Linked DNA regions of Rattus norvegicus. The protein of the gene in region 2 interacts with the protein of the main gene of each other region in a biochemical or structural test. Links are inferred from orthologs where the notes say so. Each region holds a gene or a part of one and is shown on either strand. Other genes may lie near its edges.

Region 1 (10,539 bases), on a different chromosome or scaffold from region 2:
CTGGGAGAACCATAATGATAAATAAATGATGGATAATTTGTGGTAAACTAGACATTGAAAAAACCTTCAGTGGTGTATGAATGCACAAGTGTGGAATTTATTCACAAACTTCATTCCAGAGTGAAGGAGTGGCGCTTTCATTGGACAAATAGAGATGGATCAAATACAGAAAATACTTGAAGTCACTGCTAAGTTTTGACAGTGTCCATAGCAACAGAATTGCCCGTGCTGTATTGAGGTTCCTGGCTGGTCCAAGACTCACACAAATGTCCGAGTTTTTATGCCCCAGGAAGGGAATAACAGCGGCCCATCTTAGCACAAAAAGGGACCTGAATTTAAGGCGATCTTTTGAGATGATGAATGATAATGCAATCAGCACAAAGTGCAGAGTTGCCTGGGCATGCAAACGCAAGCCTGGAACAGGGAAAACAGTGAGCGAGGGCCCTGACCTAAACCAAGATGATAGGGAGTAAATCCACAAAATAACGAGCAGGAAACATGAACTGGGGAAGGAGGGAAGAGAAACTATGGAGTTGGAGCTGAGAAGCTAGGATTGGGAGCCCCAAGAGAAGCCAGGGCTGGAGAACATTACAGAACGTTCTCACTCCTAGAACAGAGCATGGCTCTGTGGGTTTCTCCAAGCCAGACACTGATCTCTGAGTCACTAAAAGTCATGTCTTTGTAGGTGCAGACTTGCAGAGCTGCCTACAGAAGCATCCCTAGACCACAGGGTGCTCTGAATGAGTTACTGATACTGTGAACCAGACTGTAATGTATTCTGATGGGCAGGCTTCAGATTCGGAGCCCAAATGCCCAGACGAGTTACTAGGGAATGCTGGAGATTTTCCTCTGAAAAATGTACACGGTGCAATAGCTTTGTCATTGTGGAGCTGTTAGCTCATAATTCACAATCCTATATAGATGAAAAAAATTTGAAGTGAGCATGTTGAAAAAAGAAGACATTCTTGAGAGTCCCTTAAGTAAATAACTTTCCTTAAAATCTATTTTATGCCAAAACTCCCTTGGAGGAAACAAAGGATGCTTTCCAATATCATTGTGTTCTGTTTTGTTTTTCATTCTGGAAAGAACAGTTACCAGTTGGTTTCAATAGATATGCCCATGCAGCCTAATGTATACACAAGTGCCTACTTATATATAATAATATACACAATATATAATAGTGCCACATGGATTTCATCTTAAAATGCACTTTGTTATGTTCATTTAGCAAAATGAGAACCTAGTTTCCTGTAATAGAGCAAATGACACCTACCTTATAGCACTGGAAAATTAAAATATTAAGGTGCACCATGAGAGAGTCTCTGCTTAATTCGTATCCCAGTCTTGAGAAAAAGACACTGCTCTTGCAGGTACCCACTACTGTGTTTGATTAAATAATTATATATTTCAGTATTCATTGTATATGTGCCTCCATAGAAGAGTCACCTTTCTTACTGAGGAGAGCAATTCTACTTTCTTTTCCAATAAAAGACCTATTAATGCAATTTTACTTTAAAATGGTAAGTAATCTTTTCATTGTGTGGATGTCAGTATTAATGCTCAGATCACAAATACTCTACAGCAAAAAAAAACCCAAGTTTTGAATCAGTAGGAAGTATGTTTCAGTCACAGAAAAAGGATGTATTAAAATGTTTTCTAAGTATATGCATATTTAAAATAATAATTACTATTTTAAATGACAACAAATCATTTTATACCAGTTTACTGTAAACCACCCAATATACTATATCACATAGTCAGTAATCCCACTGGGATTTAAAAAATGTATCTAGCAATTTTACATAAACTCCTGTCAATGCTAATACTTGCAGTAAACTTAAAGAGTAAATATTAATTGACTAAAAAGAGAAAAGAGGAGCATTCCCAAAAATAGCACACAGAAAGAACATAATGATAGGAACAGCAGAGAGATGCCAACCTCTGTGGCCTGCTCTCAGCTTCCACGAAGCAGGATGTGTAAATCATAAAGGACTTTTGTCTGCCTACCACCAGTCTAACTTAAACTATCATATAAAAAAAAAAGTTTCCTTTGGCTTAATCCTTATGTATCTATTTGCCTTTGGTTCAAGAAATACAGGAAAAATAGCTCATTAACTAGAAAATTAAAAATAATATTTTCAGGGTTTTCACCCTTGTTTATTACTTTTTGCTGGAAGCCTTTAAGTTGAATGTTAAAATTCTGATTTGAAATCTCACGTGTCGGTGGTTGATAGTGAGAAGCGGCATCTGAATACTGTGCCAGCAAGCGATGTTTTGATGGACACGGATTCATACCAAGGACATTGCTCCTGGCCACATTTTAGACAGTTGTTTGTTTGCTTTATTGGATTTTTCTTCCATTTAAAATGCCCTACCTAAAAAAGCCTCAAACCCAGACGTGACTTTTTCCTTCGTATGCTTCTTTTAGTTACACACTTTTTTAGCCGAACAACCTAGAGACATTGAAATTCCTCGCGATGCTCAGTCTGTTAGGTTTTGCTTTGTAAAACCAAAGTGATAATGAACAAAATTGCTGTGAAGATTAAAAGAAACGCTAAACTCATCTCAGTGGTTAGGCCCTCAGAGGCAGCTTCCAACAGTCCAAACTGGATTCTGTGAGATTGGCTCGCCACAATAAAACTGAACTGAGCGAACTGCTCATGGACACACTGTGTTCAGATAATTTTATCCATTAAAAGAAGCTATTTCCTTTACATTATTGTTGACTTCTTCATGGATGTACAAATTAACTAGAGTAAGGGTTTTTTAATTCCATCCGAAGGTATTAGTAAACCTGAGGAAAACTCTAATAATTATATATAAGATTAAAATTAGCCTGCACTCCAGATCAACTGAAAAGCAGACTTCCATTAGAAACACCTTAAGAAACAAAGGTCACAAAATGAAACTTTTCCAGTGGTTTGAAATCACCTTCCTGCAAACCCATCTTCCCTCTCTTTAACCGTTTTTGATTAAATAATGTTCCTCTGCTCTTACCGCCTATTTTCTTTGTGTGAACTTGTCCAATCATCTCAGTCTTTTCTTTTGTAGTTTAAGAGGCCTTTATGTAGCTCTCTGAGAGACTAACACAAAAATCTGACTGGGAGAATAGTTTCTGAGATTTAGAACGCAGGGCCATTATTAACACTGTCTTGCCTGCAGTGAGCACACAGCACCTCCCCCACCTCCCCGCCCCACCCCTGTTCACACATGGCAGGATTTTAACTCAGTCATCAGGGGTAGAGTCAGCTAAGTGAAGGCTTGGGAATAATATCATTGGTCGTGTGAGCTCGCATTGATTTCCACGTTTTAAAAAAAGGCACGGGTTGTTCAAATAGATTCACGGACATAAGAAAAACACGTTGTAGGGTGTGTACTTATCGCTACCATTCCCACAAGTACTTCTGTGGCTATAAACATGGTATCAAAAGTGGTAATTTTATACGTCTTTAGGTTCTTATCTAGTATCTAATAATATGCAGAGTGGATGTTCTTCACCACAAAGCTCAACGCAGAGAGAGCACACAAGAGCAGATTTTCTGGTTTGAAGAGAGGTTAATTTTAAGTGTTTTTACTTTATCAGAGTACTCCTGACTTGTGTTCGACCATCATTGGCACTAATGATGTTTATGCGGCTCAAAGAAAATTAGGCTTTTTCTTAGTATTTCAGTGCCCAATGTTTTTTTCTTATTAGAACAGACAAATCTAATTACTTCTGATGAATCTGAAGAGCTGTGATTTGAATCATGAATAATTCCTTTCCAGTCAAAGTTAAATCTCAAACGCACCCGTGGAACTTAGCTTTTTATAAGCACGTTGTACACAGATGCTAAATAAGGGGACGTTTTAACTCATAGCAGTTGGACAACTACAACAGAAAACTCTGTGTGTGTGTGTATGTATGTGTGTGTATGTATGTGTGTATATGTGTGTATGTGTATGTCTGTGTGTGTATGTATGTATGTGTGTATATGTATGTGTATGTGTGTGTATGTATGTGTGTATGTGTGTGTATGTGTGTGCGTATATGTGTGTGTATGTGTGTGTGTGAGTATGTGTGTGTGTGAGAGTATGTGTGTATGTATGTGTGTTATGTGTGTGTATATGTGTATGTATGTGTGTGTTATGTGTGTGTATGTATGTGTGTGTATGTATGTATGTGTGTATGTATGTGTGTGTATGTGTGTGCGTATATGTGTGTGTATGTGTGTGTGAGTATGTGTGTGTGTGAGAGTATGTGTGTATGTATGTGTGTGTTATGTGTGTGTATATGTGTATGTATGTGTGTGTTATGTGTGTGTATGTATGTGTGTATGTATGTATGTGTGTATGTGTATGTATGTGTGTGTATGTGTGTATGTATGTGTATGTATGTGTGTATGTGTGTATGTATGTGTGTGTGTGTATGTGTGTGTATGTGTGTGTGTGAGTATGTGTATGTGTGTGGTATCTACTCTGTTATGTTAAACAGAGCCTAAAAATCTACCTCCTCTATCACCCAAAACTCATCACTTCCTCTTCTCCATTCTCTTTGTGTTCTCACTGCTTCAGGGTGTCCACCTTTCTTTCGATATCTCTCTTCAAAAATCTTGTGTCTCCTTAAAGATTCTTGAAGTCCCTGGATCCTATGCGTTAAATACAAAAAGAAATGATAGCTACCAGTACTTGAGTTCCTGGTGTGTTCTGGGTGCCATTCTTAGGATTTTTTTCAGTCTATTAATTTTAATCAGACAGTATATTCTCCACTTGATAGAGAAATAAACAGAAATCACATTAAGCAATCAGGGAGTAGTCATACAGCCTCTGCCTGGCCAAACCCTCTCCATGATCTTTTCTCAAGGCACCAAGTATACTTACTGCTTGCCTTCAACATGGTTGTAATTTTTACAATTGGCTTTTATTCGTGTGGTTAATATCTGCACATTCTACCATGCCAGAATATATTAACAACTATAATGTTATCAATAAGGAAGCATTCCAGTGAACATTAGTTAAGCTTTCATGCTAGCCACTGCATCTCAATAATTCTTGTAAGACTCACCAAACTACTTGCTAATTTTTCCTCTACTGAATAGATGAGGAAGCTAAAGCAGAGAGGGGGTTTGTACAAGATGCTCTGAATAAATGAAGAGTGAATGGGAAATTAGCTTGAAGCATATGGGAAAGGCAACGTGCAATATATGTAGAGGAAGAGGAAGAGTCCAGGCCAGGCTGCAGCACAGATAAAACCTACAGAACAGCACCACTGGGGCAAAACAAGAGCTGGGGAAATCCAGCCACAGGCCTGGGGTCTTCACTGTGCTTGGCTAACTGGTTCCACTGCTGATGTTCCTTTTCTGTCTCTCTCTCTCTCTTCCAGTGCCACCGTGGGCCTTAATAGCCATAGCCATAGTTGCGGTCCTTTTAGTCGTAACCTGCTGCTTTTGTGTCTGTAAGAAATGTTTGTTCAAAAAGAAAAACAAGAAGAAGGGGAAGGAAAAGGGAGGAAAGAACGCCATTAACATGAAAGACGTGAAAGACTTAGGGAAGACCATGAAGGATCAGGTAATGCACTCGCCCCCTCGTGCCTGTTCACAGATGCCCCCGAGAATGCGCAGTGGGGTTGTGCTCTTTTCTGCAGATGCTCATAGACATAGACAACTTGAGGCTACTGTTGTTTGTATAGAGATGCTTGGCAGTCCTTTCAGGTGTTACTCGGTCTCCCAAAGTAGAGTGGAGTGGAGACAGACACAGTGGTATTTTTCTCACCTGATGACACACATATACCAGGAGAGGCTTCACACCACGAGGTGTGGCTTCATGGGCCTAGCACAATAAGACAATTCCTGAACATTTTTGTTCCATCATCAGCCAATCCTATCTGAGTGCTTTCTGCCTTGGACGGAGGCTCTTTCTGCCTCAGGCACTGCTCTAAGTCTCTGCTAAAGATCTTCCTCCTATTTGGTAAATGCCAACATGCTATGCACCCGGCCAGCTCAGCCCTCACATGCCGGAGATAATAAGTTATATCTGGTGAGGGGAGATAGGATCCAGTCCTAAAGAACAAAACCGAGTTGAAAGACAAAATTATATTTCCTCAATTAATGATCACAATTAGAACCCATATGTTGATAAACTATGTACCTGAGTGCCTTCCCATGCATAGAGATGATGTTTGGTTTCCCTGGCATTGCTGCCGATTTTTAACTACGTTAACTGGACAACTTAGTTAAGGTCAAGTTTAATAAAAAGTATTTAATGCTTCTTCAGTTTTTGAATAGTACTTACAATAAATGTTTCTAAATAAAATTTAATTCATATGAAATGAGAGTGTAAAGATTTTTCATCGAAATAATTTGGAAGCATTGTTTTCTATCAGATAATTTAAATGTTCTATTAATGTCCAAATAGGAAGTTGTGGAGGCAGTTTTGCTGATTGTTTTGTGGTATTAATTACTGTTAGCTGAATCGTTAACACATGCATCTAAGAGCAGTTTGACCAGGGCTTACCATAGCCTCATAGCACACATGTAGAGCGTCCTGGGTTTCCACACATGGACTCTCATATTCTAACCCTCCTTCCCAGTGTGAGTGTTAAACTCCTTCTCAAAGACCATGCAGTGTCTATGGACAGACACAGTCCACGTCCCATTCCCTGCAGTTCAGCTTGATTTCAGAGCTGTAGAGTGGATGAAAGTCTATTCTCCTGCTCAGAGACCTTTGGTCTGAGCTCAGGGTAACAAAGATTCAATTTCTCTGGCAGTTTCTCATCAGTCACAGAACCTCATGAACAACTACAGATAACTAAGAAGGATTTTCCCCTTCATTTAATTTGTTAAGTAGATACTCAAATTTTGGCTTATAGCAAGTAGAATTTAATACTGACATTTCTTCCTTCTTTATCTATTTAGTTTTTATTTTAGTTTTTTAAAGACAGAATCATATTTTTTTTATGATTATAGAAATAATTTACCTTGGTAAATACAGACTAGAAAATGCTATTTTAGCAATATCTTTGAAAAGAAAACTTTGAATAGACAATGCTATCGCTTTCATAATTATTATAAAATTCTATTGTGATTTTCTCGTGTCCTGAAGTGAACACGTAAAAGCATTGATTACTTTTTAGGTGGTAACTAAAGTGCTTCTTTCCAGGATAAGAGTGTTATATTTTCATTTGTGGATTTGTTCTGTATGATGTAACACTACAGTTGATGGCATAGAGCTGATATCCCCATTACACCATGGATAAATGACCTGGATCTCACATAGAGATTGATGGTGACTTCCCATCTCTCCTGCTCCTTCCAATGGGTTGGAGCAGAGGAATAGGAATCAAGTCATGAACTAGTAGAAAAGGCCAGTGATAGTCTATAATTACTTCCTTGATATAGCAAAGCATCTAGAATTTCAACCACTTTTGGTTTTAATTAATGTAAGTCAACAATGTCATGTACTCAGGGCTTTTAGCTAGGTATAATTGTCTTAATCTTCAATGTATAGAATAAAATATAATTGGAATAGGTGAAATTATGTTTCATGATAATTATATAATAATAGTATATGTTTCTACCAATCCTTACAAAAATAGCTAACAGCCTATGAATATGAAGGCTAAAGATGAAAAAAGTTTTAGAAGAATGACATGTCACATTGTGTCCCATAGTTCTCAAAATTATACAGATTAAATTCATTTTTAAACACTGTGCTTCCGAAATATTTTAAGTAGCATATCTCAGGGAACATAGGGAAGGAGATAAGAACAGTGTATGACTCTCTCAGTGAAGGACAGGACAGGGAAAAACAAGTTTTAGATGGAACTCCTGAGGCTATATAGGCTTGAGGGCAATCAATATGTTTTTATTACTTCAGAACATTCCAAACTCCCAGAAATTCAAATTTCAACGCTCATGGCTATGTATCTATATTAAGATTTCGTAACCAAAAAATAATTTTTTTAAAATTCAATAATGACTTCAAAAGTAAACTCTAGATAGAGCATATTTGTATTCCAAAAGATCCGTGTATTGGGGTTTTTTATAACACCTTGAGTCTTTAAATGACTAGCCATGAAGGGGAGATGATGGCAACTTGTAAGTAAGAAGCTTAGACAGGTCATTTCTCCATGGTTTTCACTGATGTGTGTGGATATTTTAATTTTTATTTCTTCCTTCTATGTCCCCCTTATCTGTGTTGTGTCTCATGACTGTTCTGGATTGTCCCTTGCGGTAGGTTTCTTCTGCTACTAGATACCCCAATCAATGCTGGTGGCTGGGCTCCACAGCGGGTGGCTTACCATTCTGACATCAAAAGGCTGAACTCAACTGATCTTCCACGATGATGTGTTTCATTTTAAACATGACTAACATGGGCTAAATAGAACAGGATTCAAAGGTTTTACATTAATAGATAGGAAAGAAAATGCAGTCCTTATGGCGCCTTTTAATGTCCCTTAGCAAATCCTGTCTGAACAATGTAACTTAGAATGAGGAAATACGTTTACTGATGACTGTGGAGTAGGTAAATATTGAACGCCAAAGCAAGCCACATGCATGCCCCTCTAAGCCTGTAAACTTTATAAAACCCTGATGTTCTCAACAAAGCTTTCCTGTTACAATCTGCCTGGCTTCAGAGATGCTGGGCTTACAGGCTTTTTCATCTCAGGTGGGTTTTTTTGTTTGTTTGTTTGTTTGTTTGTTTTTCCCTATGGAGGGAAAAATATTGCTCTCAACATATTATAATACTACTGATTTAATAGGTCTGAATTTAATGTAATGCACAGTGTACATGTTAATGAAGCTCGACCTCTAAGACAGGAATTAACTTCACTTTGGTGGTGAACAGGAGCACCAAAAAAAATATCAAAAATTTAATGAAAAATAGTTGCAGAGATGATCCTGCACTTTCTCTTCTGGCAAAAACCACATAGGAAAGAAGAGATTTAATATCTCAGCTATTTCAAATTTCATTTGGCTGAAACATGATGTATAAATTGTCGATTCTGAAAGGGGACTTTTGGAAAAGTATTTAAATTTGTGATTTTTTTTTTGAGAGAATGGGGTGACCCATCAGTATTTTCAGTCAGTGGGTCATTTAGGAATTTTCCATTCTTTTTTTTTTAAATCAAAATATTAAAAGGAGGTGAACTACCCAAACCATAATCTCTTTATCCACATCCTCTAAAGCAGTGCTAAAGACTGGACATAGCTAGGGTTCTCAGGGACAAATGGAGGCCACTATCTAGAGTGTTCTAGTCAGACTCAGCCATATTAACGCAGTTTATCAATAACTGTGCTGCTTATCAATAACTGTGCTGCTTCATGCTTTGGCCCCTTACAAAATTACTTTAATATTCAAGGAAGTTCCCAAGTATAAATTAATCTTTCCAAATTCAATAGTATAGGGCTAGCCACATTTGAAAATGGTAATTTCAATTTCTCAGACTCGTTGTAGACTCCTGAGATGTGTCAAAAGGCACAAAGGATGACACACGCGTGACGACAGCTCACCTCTGTTCAGACGCTCTTCTAAGCAGAGAGCAGAACTAATGAGCTATGTCAGCCTCCCTGCAGATGGGGGATCGTTGTGGGGTTAGCTGAAAGGAGCGAGACTGGAAGACAGAGCTTGCTATTTCAAGCAGCACAAGAGCTCGCCATGCAAGTGATGAGGGAGTGAAGGAGGCTCCACTGAGAAGAGAGACAGCAGAGGGAACATCTATGTGGACAGACAGACAGGAACAGCAAGATGGTGAACCAGGGTCCATTGGCCCTGGGACCTTTGCAGCCTGGCTAAACCTCTCATATTTGAATTCTGTAAGCATTCTGAAGGCCAGCTCCAGAGCTGATGCTAGTTAGACAACAGTAGAGAGTCACTAACGCTGACGAAATAGAGTGCAGCTCACTGCTTGTCGGCTCTATTTCTCGTCCTGTGAGATTCTGCAGTAGCAGACACAACAAATACGTGATGGCTTGATGGAAGCAGATAACACTCGCTCCATTAAAAACACAAGCAATGTAAAAATAAAAACCCACAAAGCAGAACAAAATATGTGAGTGCTAGTCAGATACCTTTAAATGTTTCAATTTTTCAAACATACTAGTGAACAGGGAGGTGGAACTTTTCATAATTTTCGATTGTGAAGAATGGCATTGCATAGAGTATACAAGTTTATCTATACAGCCCCATGAAGAAATCTTCCAGGAGCATAAACCCTTGTAGTAGAAATACCCAGCACAATTTTTACATTTTAGGAAAATATTATATCCTTTTCATTTTTTTGAAATACAGAAATTGTACATATTTTATGACATAATGACCTTTCAAATACTTTATTTTATGTTCTATCTTTTAGATTGAAAAATATATAATTGTATAGGTTTTCTAAGTCTAGCACCATGGCCCTTGTTGTTCAATGCAAAATGAACTTTATACCAATATAAGGTTTTCCAAAATGACAAACATGACTCTTCTGTCTTTGATATTAAGTAAAGTCAAATCAGTTTAATTCAGCCTAGCTTTCTGAGGAGCTGTTATGAAAATAAAATGGTAAAGTTCAGCTGG
Region 2 (10,539 bases):
CATGCACAGTTGTTAATGACCTACCACCACAGATAGAAGGAATTAGCCTTGAGAATAGCTGTGGATCTATCCCTGGTTCAAGACTGAACTCAGCAAGAAAACATTTCTATATGGACTGCTATTAATATCAAGTCTCCCTAGTTCTCATCAAAACACACACACACACACACACACACACACACACACACACACACACACACACACACCCCTCTATACTGAAAGGGTTGCATTTGAAAAACTCAAAATACAGGTCTTCTCATGTGGGCCTATGTAGCTTGTCCTTTTCATTCCAATCTAATGCTTAGAGAGTTAAACACATGGTTCAAAGTACTGCCATGATTTCTAATACCTAGATCACTAGATAGGAGCTGAAAAAAAAAAAAAAGCTTGAATCAGTTAGTCCCAAACTGCAGGCATTTTCTACTTATTTCCATATATTCCCCAAGTCTGATAAAATATGTACTCAGTCCCCTCACTTTTTTCTTCATGAGAGCAATCAACAGAGTACAAATAAGCAGGGGTGGGGGAGCAGGGGGCAGGGTGGGAAATGTAAGGAAAGGGATGCTGGCCTGAGTCTGGGAATCAGGATTTCATGGTCATGACACTGGGAGACCGGCTTTCCCCAGCCCTACACTGGAGCCTTCTGCCTTTTTTAGTTTGTTTTTTGTTTTTTTGTTTTTTGTTTTCTTCCCAGATAGGGTTTCTCTCTGCAGCCCTGGCTGTCCTGGAACTCATCCTGTAGACCAGGCTGACCTTGAACTCAGGAATCCATTTGCCTCTGCCTTCCAAATGCTGGGATTAAAGGTGTGCGCCACCACCCTTTTGAGCTTTCACAATAGTGTAACTAACCAACCTCAGAATTCGGGGTAAAGCTCATCCAAACTCAGCTTTTACAATGATCTTTTTAGCTTAAGTTTCCTCTGAATTTTGAGGGAAGAGATGTGTAACAGTCATTGTGTATGAGGTATGAAAAGAACTTCCAAGTGTCTCTTTTACGCACACGGAATTACAGTCATGCTGTGTTTCAGGAATTAAAACTGACCAGTGAGAATCTGGCATATTTTATGATCGAAGCTGTCTTCCGAACTAAATATAAGCTTACATTTAATGTTCCTTTTAGGTAAGAAAAATAAGTTCTGTTTTTTTGTTTTTAACAGACTGTGAAGCCAATTTAGTCCATTTGTAGAATTAAGCTCCAAACCTAAATTTGAAAATATCAGATGGAGCCTTTCCCATCATGCACCATATTTAAGACAGCAAATGGAGAAGAAGTTGAAAGAGTGTTTTGATCTTGAGCAATCTAGAACTAGAAGGGAAACATTTGGGAAACCTCTGTTGCAGAATGCCCATGTTTAAAAACATGGAGATATCTAGAAAAGCAGGCCCAAAGAAATGGCTTTGGAACTTCCTGGAATCTTGTACAGAGGGAGCAATAGAGATGGATTCTTAATAAACTTTCAGGGCTATTTTCTCCAGAATTTTACAAGTGACATGTGAGTACTGGGGGCAAATTGTGCCAACACTGATGCTGGCGGTTCTTTCTGGGTTTCTAATAGTCACCACAAACCACATACCAGTGCCATGATACAAGCAGAAAAGAGACAAGGAGGCTCAATACTTGGTAAACTCCAGAAGCCAGGTGTGCCACGTACTTCGGGCATGCTCAGTGTCAAGGGGCCTACTGAAGGCAGCCCCCCTCAGGATTTCCTGTGACCCACAGGTAGGTGCACACAGGAAACGGAGGTAGGCAGCCCCCAATGTGGAGCAGCCGCAGCAGGTGTCGACTTAAACTTGAGTTATTCGGGGAAGACACCCGGTTGCGAGTCAGCGGTCCTCAGTTCCTTGAGGTGGGTCACTGTCACTGTACCCCACATTCCTTTGGGTTTTCCAAGTCCTCTCCCTCAAAGTCTGGCTTCAAACTCTTTTTTTGTTCAATTTCCACCTGCCAAAAGAAAAGATGAAGAAACTGTCAGGACTAAGGGGAAGCGAGAGGAGAAGCACCCCGGAGGTCCCTTGGGATTGCCCGGAATTTTGTGAATGTTCTGGGCATCTGCCACAGAGGAGCACCTACTCCTGAGTATCCCAGGATCCCCGTGGAGGTGTGGCATTCCCCTTCTTCATGGTCCATCTGGAAAATTCTCATCCATCCTTTGTCTCACAGATTTGCTCAGATATTACCTTTGCTGCCCACTCAGGAGGGAGACCGAGTTTCCTCTGAATATATCCACTGTCCCTGTCTCCACTATTCCATAGGTTCATGGGATAAGGGCAAGATCTAGCTGACTTTATCCAATGGTGTGGGATTCTAGTAGGCAACTGACAATGGTTTAGAGAACCATTTGTAGCTGACCTCTTAAGCACCTCCAATTACTTCATTTAAAAAAAATGTCTCTAAACTAATACGTATTGGAACGTTTATTGTTCTATTCTATCTCCTGCAAAATACTGTCCAGAAGTTGCTCTTTTGGCTGGAGAGATGGCTCAGTGGTTAAAAGCACTCACTGGATGCTCCTCTGGAGGGCCTGAGTTCAATTCCCAGCACCCACATGGTGGCACGCCACTGTTTGTGCATGCATGTGAGAGAATATCCACACACATTCAATACATAAATAAAATCCTTTTAAAGAGTAACACACCCTGACTACAGCCTCTGGTAAGTTGGGAAGGGACTCACTCCTTTGCACTTAGGGGTCCCATAAGTGCTTCTCATCACTGCACGGAATGTTAAGCCTCTCCCTTTAGAGGCAACAACTGAAGGTAGCTTACAGCCATGGTTGTGGGGAACTGCTAGTTTTCCCCTGGCCACAAGATGGGGCATTCGTTCTTCTTGGTAGTTAAAGAAATAGTTTTCCATGATACAACTAAGAAAATATTTAAAAAGAATAATAAATTACATAAATCTGTGGGAATCATTATATGTAGGAAATGATCAAATGACTTTGCGAAACCTTTCACCAATGCCTTTCTCTTCCCTCTTCGGAGCTTGATCTACCAAACGGCTACCTCTGCGGGGAATTATCATTTTGGTGTGTTGTAAGCCCTTGCTTCATGGAGATATGCCTATAATCTTCACAGGCAGGAAAGCAGAACTTGAAGTTGGGCTGAGCTACAGGGAGGGATCCTGCCTTCAGACACCCCCGTTTCCCCCCAATAAAAGCAGCTCTCCAGCTTTGACTGCAGACACCTCCCACGTTCCCCATCCCATTGTCACTGTGAAAGGGCTGGCTTTTAAGTTTGCCCTCTTACTTACAGTGCCTCACACCAAAACAGGAACCCTGTCACAGACCGGGAACAAGTATCACTTGGTCCGACTGTTCTTTTTGTTACTATTCATGATGTCTCATCAGCCCCTTAATTTTTTTTTTTTTGGCCTAGCCTCTCTTCTTACCCACGAGAGATCATTTCATTAAGCAGATTCATCCACAGCTATGAATGTGAAGTGCCTTGATATAAGAAGCATTTGCTGGAAGGCACGAGGGGAAGCTGTGGGGCTAACAAACGGATGTGGAAACATGGGCCCGAAGCCCTCCTGAGGCTACCTTGTAGCTGTAGTGTGCGGAATAATTGACCCACTTCCTGACATCGGGCTTGTCTTCCACAGAGATGGATCTCACAGCTGCTTTGGAGGCAGACGTCGTGGGCATGCTGAACTCGACGTTTACATGATTGGCAAATCTGGAAGGCACTTCCCGGTCAGAGCCAAGTTCAAGGTGGCAAAAGAAACAGTGTGGGTGGCCAGAAGCTGTAATAGAAAGAAAGTATCCAGAGGTTGAGTTCTCTAAGGAAAAAATTAAAAAGGAAAGGAGGCTAAAGAGCCCCGCTGGTAATAATGGAGGGCTGCCGGCGCTGCACCTGCTCGCTGAGGGTCCAGTGATAAACTTCCCCTGGGCGGACATCAGGCTCCGTGTGCCCCGGACCCTTTCATCCAGTCCTCCTGGTAACCACAGCCTGGAATTCCAGCCTGTGGAGGCTGGACAGATGGCTCAATGGTTAAGAACAATGGCTGGTCTTCCCAGGGGACCTAGTTTCGGTTCTCAGCACCCACAAGGCAGCTCACAACGAAAAGTGAAAGCAAACAAAAAAACAAATGGAAAACAAAACCCACAGTGTTTTTCTGACTGTTTAGGTCCCAGAGCTGTGCAGACAGCAGGAACACTGAGAGAGAGGCTTGACAGCGGAAGAAGGAGCAGCTGAGATTAGATTAGCACTTGGCACCTAATAAAACATGGGTGACAGCCGCCTGCAGCAAACTGCTTTCCTGTAAAAGATGAATTCCCCTAATAGCATTTTATATTTTCCGAGGTGCCTCGGGCATGTTTCTGTGGGTGGGTGACATATGAAAGTGACGGATTTATAGACAGCACACATGAAACTGGGGGACACAGTGCACTGGACCAATGCTCTCATCTGGCTGAGGGTTCTGTGCATAAAGCAAGCCGCCACGGGTCACAGCAAAAAGTCTTACAGCTGGGACTGTGGACCCCTTTGTCTGAGTCATAATTTCATGGTCCCCAAACATGGAGACCAGGTTGCAGGATGGCAGTGTGGAGATGAGACATGCACAATGACTACGGATAAACTGTGATGCGGCTTTGACCGACGGTGTAACTCTTTCCTGCCTCTCAGAGTCAACAATTTCAATTTCCTTTATTGCTCTGGGCAGGATTTTCCCATCTCGGAGAATCAGGAGACACACACCCTCTCTCCGAGGAAATCACTCCAGAGTGAGGCATTTGTTTTTCACAGATGTAGCACAATTTAATGGTTATTTCTAAAGAATAAGGCTAGGATATTTAACTGAAAAATTTGCACTGACTTTTAGGAAAGGAACCAAAATCTCACTCTCACTCTCTCTCTCTCTCTCTCTCTCTCTCTCTCTCTCTCTCTCTGACACACACACACACACTCTCTCTCTCTCTCTCTCTGACACACACACACACACATTCTCTCTCACACACACAACTTTCTCTCTCACACACACTCTGTCTCTCTCATACACACACACATACTCTCACTCACACTCTCTCTCACACACACACATTCTCTCTCACACACACTCTCTCTCATTCACACACACACTCTCTCTCACTCACACACACACACTCTCACTCACACACACACACTCTCTCACACATACATTCTCTCTCTATCACACACACACACACTCTCTCTCACACACACATTCTCTCTCTCACTCACACACACACATTCTCTCTCTCTCTCTCTCTCTCTCACACACACACACACACACACACACACACACACACACACACACACACACAAACTTGATGATATCTCAAAACACGCCTGTTCAATCTATTGTTTTGGGTGCCACGGACTAATCACAGAGCTCTCGTTTGTCACCAATACTACAACTATGCTTCACATTTAACAGCATTACCCAGTTTTGTTCTGAATGAGCTAGGTACTAATTACTCTGTCTCATAAGTGAGAAAAATTAGGTTTCTCCGACATAGTTAAGTCGATTGCATGGGGTCATACCACCATTAAGCAGCAGCACCAAGAATAAAATTCAGATCTCACTGACTCCAAACCAGGTCCTACATACATGGTGAGCTGCTATGGAATGTGGTCACTACACTGTGGAAGGCCTCTTAACTCAGATAGAGACTTGAACATTTGTTTTTGTTTTTTCTAATCAGCTTTCTCTGACATTTCTGTCTGGAATATTGAGAAGTGGTTTCTCTGTTTAAAAGGTGACTTCCTTCTCTGACTGTCTCAGAGCGTACTCACGGGAACTCTGAAAGCCAAATCTTGACTTGAATTCCTAGCTTCAGCTATTTAATGTGTAAGTGTGGTGGACAGGTGGGGCTAAACCATTTTAAAATTTGAATAATTCAATTCATGGTTATAATAATAAGAACATCTTTACGTTATTGGGTCTTTCTTGATGAAACTTAGCATTAAAAATCAGATTGATGTTACTACACAGTGGAGTTTCACTCCTTTAATCAAGCAAGAAATTAACAGCTGGCACATCTTTAATTCCAGCACTTGGGAGGCAGAGACAGGGGCATTTCTGAGTTTGAGACCAGCCTGGTCTACAGAGTTCCAGGATAACCAGGGCTGCACAGAGAAACCCCGTCCCGACCTCCCTGAAGAAATTCTAATAAACTAATAACGAGTGTAATACACAAGCAGCCCGTCACTTGGCTTCAGCCTACTGAGCATTAAAGAACTATTTGCTGAACATCTGTTTGCTGTCTCTCTGCCCTCTGCCCATGGTCTGTTTCTTCTGGTGGCAATCCTTTTTTCTCTCTCCTTTAGGACAATAAACCTCTCCGGCACTATCTGCCATCTTGATTGCTCTGGTCACTTGTCAACTTGAGCCAAGTTGCCCACGGACCAAAAATGACTGACACAAAAATTGTCTCCATGGCTGTACTGAGGAGATGACCATTAGTTTCTGTGACTAGGGCTGCTTCAGAGCTTTCTTTTCTGATGTCTGATGTTTAACCTTTCCTCATTTCAATGATCTACTCATACCGAAGGCCTCTACTCCTACCCATTTAAGGTCAGCCTTGACTAAAATCCTCCTCGCAGTACTTTTGAGTATTTTAAGTCACTTTGATATTATTTGCACACATTGAGAAACTACACATCTGTGTTTCCAGGGTGTAGATTATTTGAGGCGTGTACGTATTCTGCTCATGTATAAAGAGGAGCTGTGGTATGAAGAAGAGACCCTTGTGTGTGTTTTTTGTGATTTCAGGTGAGTAATGTCACCTGTCAGATCTTAGCCTCTCCTCTGAGGTCCCAAGCTTGAAAGCCCAGTCCTTTCACACACAGTTCTCTCTTCCCCGGGGCTTTTGTGCCACAGGAGAACTCAGGGCTTCTCGTTTCCACTGTCAAGCGAGATGGGCCCCAGTGACTGAGGCAGCCAGCACATAAGCCCCGGGAGAAGAACCCAGTGCTGAGCAGGGGAGAGAGGAGACAGCCAGCACAGGGCTGAAGACTGTTTTAAAACCCAGCGTAGGAGCGGAGGGTGGCCGCCCCAGCCTCCAGCACAGAGGTCTGATTGTCTCCTCAGCTTGCATTGCCGCACCCAGTGTCTGACACAGAAGGCCGGTGTTTGCCTTCTCCCGGGCAGCCGCAGTTCCTCTGTCTATCTCATCGAATTCCATTTGAGATATGATAACGCAACCAAATCCACACTTGTAGCAGCATACCCTGGACGCACTGTAATAGTTTAGCAGAGGTACCATAAGAAAGCAGCGGTGCGATTTTCCTCTGACTAGCTAATCCACTTTCCTTAACAGATGGGCACGCTTTATTGCAGACAAGAGAAGTGGTTTAAGGGCTTGTGGGATCACAGGCTCTTTGCGGGCCACTGAGGTCACGTCGACATACTCCAGAAATAAAGCCGTTAGCATGGTCTTGCTTTCTCAGTCAAGAAGTTTTGCTAGTAACTGCCTCCTGGGCTTTCCCAGACACAGTAGCGAAGCCGCTGGCTGTGAGCAGGACAGCTAGGCTGGGAAGTTTGTTTGTTCAAATCAAACACTCTTTATTTTTCTGTCTGCTGGAACTTCAGCCCTTTGGACCCTGGTATCCTGGCTACTTAATCTCTTTTCCATCACGAGTCCCAAAACCAAACTCTGGGTCTAATACACCATGACCAACAGTGGCTCGTTGCGGAAGGCGCAGCTCTCACACAGACTGTGCCTATGCCTGGATGTACACTGACTCTTTCACCTTCATCAAGGGGATTGTCGTTGGAAGGATTCCTCTTCAGAACCCACATGTTCTGGGACCTGGGAATGAACTGCTTCTGGCACTAATACTAATACTTGCTCCTAGTCCTAATACTTCAATGGGTTCCAGAAGGAAAAACACTTCAACAGAACTTGTTGATGGTTGAACAAGTAAAATGTGTACACAGGGACCTGGATTTGGTGTCAGGTAAAAGAGGCAGGTGTGGGGGGTCTGCAGATAGTCCCGTGGCTGGGGTGGGCTGGAGACAAGGCCCAGAGGCTGAGTGCACTGGCTGCTCCTGCAGGGAACCTGAGTTTTATTCTTACCAACTGCATGGTAAGGCACAAACCTCTGTAATTTCAGTTCTATGGGATCTGAAACCTTCTTGTGGCCTCTGAGGGCAGTGCATGCATAGGGTGCACAGACATATGTGCGGCCCAAAAGGCCATACATAAAATAGTAAAATAATTAAAACAACAGAACGCATGAACCACCGGTAGGGAAACAAAGACATGCAGATCACTCGGGACCCTGGCTGAACTTGGCAAATGGAGTTCCAGGCCAGTGAGAGAATCTTTCTCCCAAACGGGGTGGCCAGCACCCTACCAATGGCATCTGATGACAGTCTCTGGCCTCTACACATATGTGCTTACACACACACACACACACACACACACACTCACACACACAACACTCTCACACACTCACACACACACTCACACACATAACACTCTCTCACACTCACACACACATACACACACAACACTCTCACACACTCACACACACACTTACACACATACACACATTTGCACACACACTCACACACACTTACACAACACTCTCACACACTCACACTCACACACAACACTCTCACACACTCACACACACATTTGCACACACACAACACTCTCACACACTCACACACACACTCTCATACACACACACACTCTAACACACACATACACAACACTCTCACACACTCACACACATACACACACAACACTCTCACACACTCACACACATACACACATTTGCACACACACTCACACACACCCACACACACACACTTACACAACACTCACACACTCACACACTTACACACACTCTCACACACACTTACACACACACTCTCACACGCACTTACACACATACTCTCTCACACACATACACACTTACACAACACTCTCACACACTCACACTCACACACTCACACACATACACACACAACACTCTCACACACTCACACACATTTGCACACACACACTCACACCCACACCCACATATACACTCACACAACACTCTCACACATTCACACTCACACACTCACACACACTCTCTTACACACTTACACACACACTCACACACACTTACACAACACTCTCACACACTCACACACTCACACACACATAACACTCTCACACACACTCACACACATACACACACAACACTCACACACACACTTACACACATACACACATTTGCACACACACTCACACCCACACCCACATATACACTTACATAACACTCTCACACATTCACACTCACACACTCACACACACTCTCTTACACACTTACACACACACTCACACACACACAACACTCTCACACACTCACACACACATAACACTCTCACACACACTCACACACAACACTCACACACTCACACACACATACACACATTTGCACACACACTCACACACACTTACAGAACACTCTCACACACTCACACTCACACACTCACACATACACACGCAACACTCTCACACACTCACACACATTTGCACACACACAACACTCTCACACACTCTCACACACACTTACACACACACTCTCACACACACTTACACACATACTCTCTCACACACATACACACTTACACAACACTCACACACTCACACTCACACACTCACACACACATACACACACAACACTCTCACACACTCACACACACATATACACACAACACTCTCACACACTCACACACACATACACACATTTGCACACACACTCACACCCACACCCACACATACACTTACACAACACTCTCACACATTCACACTCACACGCACACTCTCTCACACACTTACACACACTCACACACACACACTTACACACACATACTCTCTCTCTCTCTCACACACACACACATTTGCACACACACACTCCTCACAGGAACATAAACACACGCACGTAATGCAGAAGCTGCCCTGGACAGCTATTTGTCCACAGAGCTGAGTAGTATAATGAGTACTCCTTATGGGAGATGAGAATGGTAAGGCCGGGAAGAGATGAGGTATACTAAGTCATCTTGGCTATTCCTATACACGGACTTCTCTAGTCCCTTTCCCCCCTCACCATCACCACCACTTCTACCATACGGCATAACCAATGCTACACACTGGCCTAGCAGGCCGTGGAAGGTTGACCCCCACCTCAGTCTCAGTGGTTGTTTCCAGAGACAAGGATCCCTACCTGAGTTCTTGTCTGGCAGCCGGTTTATCCTCCACACAATGGAGTTGAAGGCGTGCTCGTACTTGGCTGTTCCCAGAGTTACTCTCATGACGGGCTCCGAGCCAGAGGCGCCAGCGGAGCCAAAACTTGCCCCCCGGTTCACTTTGGCTTTCAAAGACTTTTCCCCTAGAACACTTTCCCTGCGGAAGTTTTTCACCCACTCACTGGGTACTGGGTAGCGAACCATTACGTTCTCACAGGGAACCTGAGTGAGAGGGTCACGGTTAGAAGAGAAGCCGGGAGACATCCTCAGCCAGCTCTGCACCTCCACTTCCGCCCCGTTAATGCTCGCTGCTGTCCTGAGGGTGAAGGGCA

The links.
Region 1: the proteins of Ston2 (region 2) and Syt1 form a complex in vitro, tested with the Homo sapiens proteins (2 studies listed by BioGRID). The link is inferred for Rattus norvegicus from reciprocal best matches to the Homo sapiens genes STON2 and SYT1.

The regions. Positions count from the first base shown.
Region 1 is NC_086025.1:45,843,108-45,853,646, reverse strand, and holds part of Syt1 (synaptotagmin-1), read left to right. Parts: intron 1-5,359; coding exon 5,360-5,544; intron 5,545-10,539. UniProt on the Homo sapiens protein: Calcium sensor that participates in triggering neurotransmitter release at the synapse. May have a regulatory role in the membrane interactions during trafficking of synaptic vesicles at the active zone of the synapse.
Region 2 is NC_086024.1:116,296,714-116,307,252, forward strand, and holds the end of Ston2 (stonin-2), read right to left. Parts: coding exon 10,186-10,539; intron 3,743-10,185; coding exon 3,540-3,742; intron 1,943-3,539; coding exon 1,859-1,942; 3' UTR 1,485-1,858; downstream 1-1,484. UniProt on the Homo sapiens protein: Adapter protein involved in endocytic machinery. Involved in the synaptic vesicle recycling. May facilitate clathrin-coated vesicle uncoating.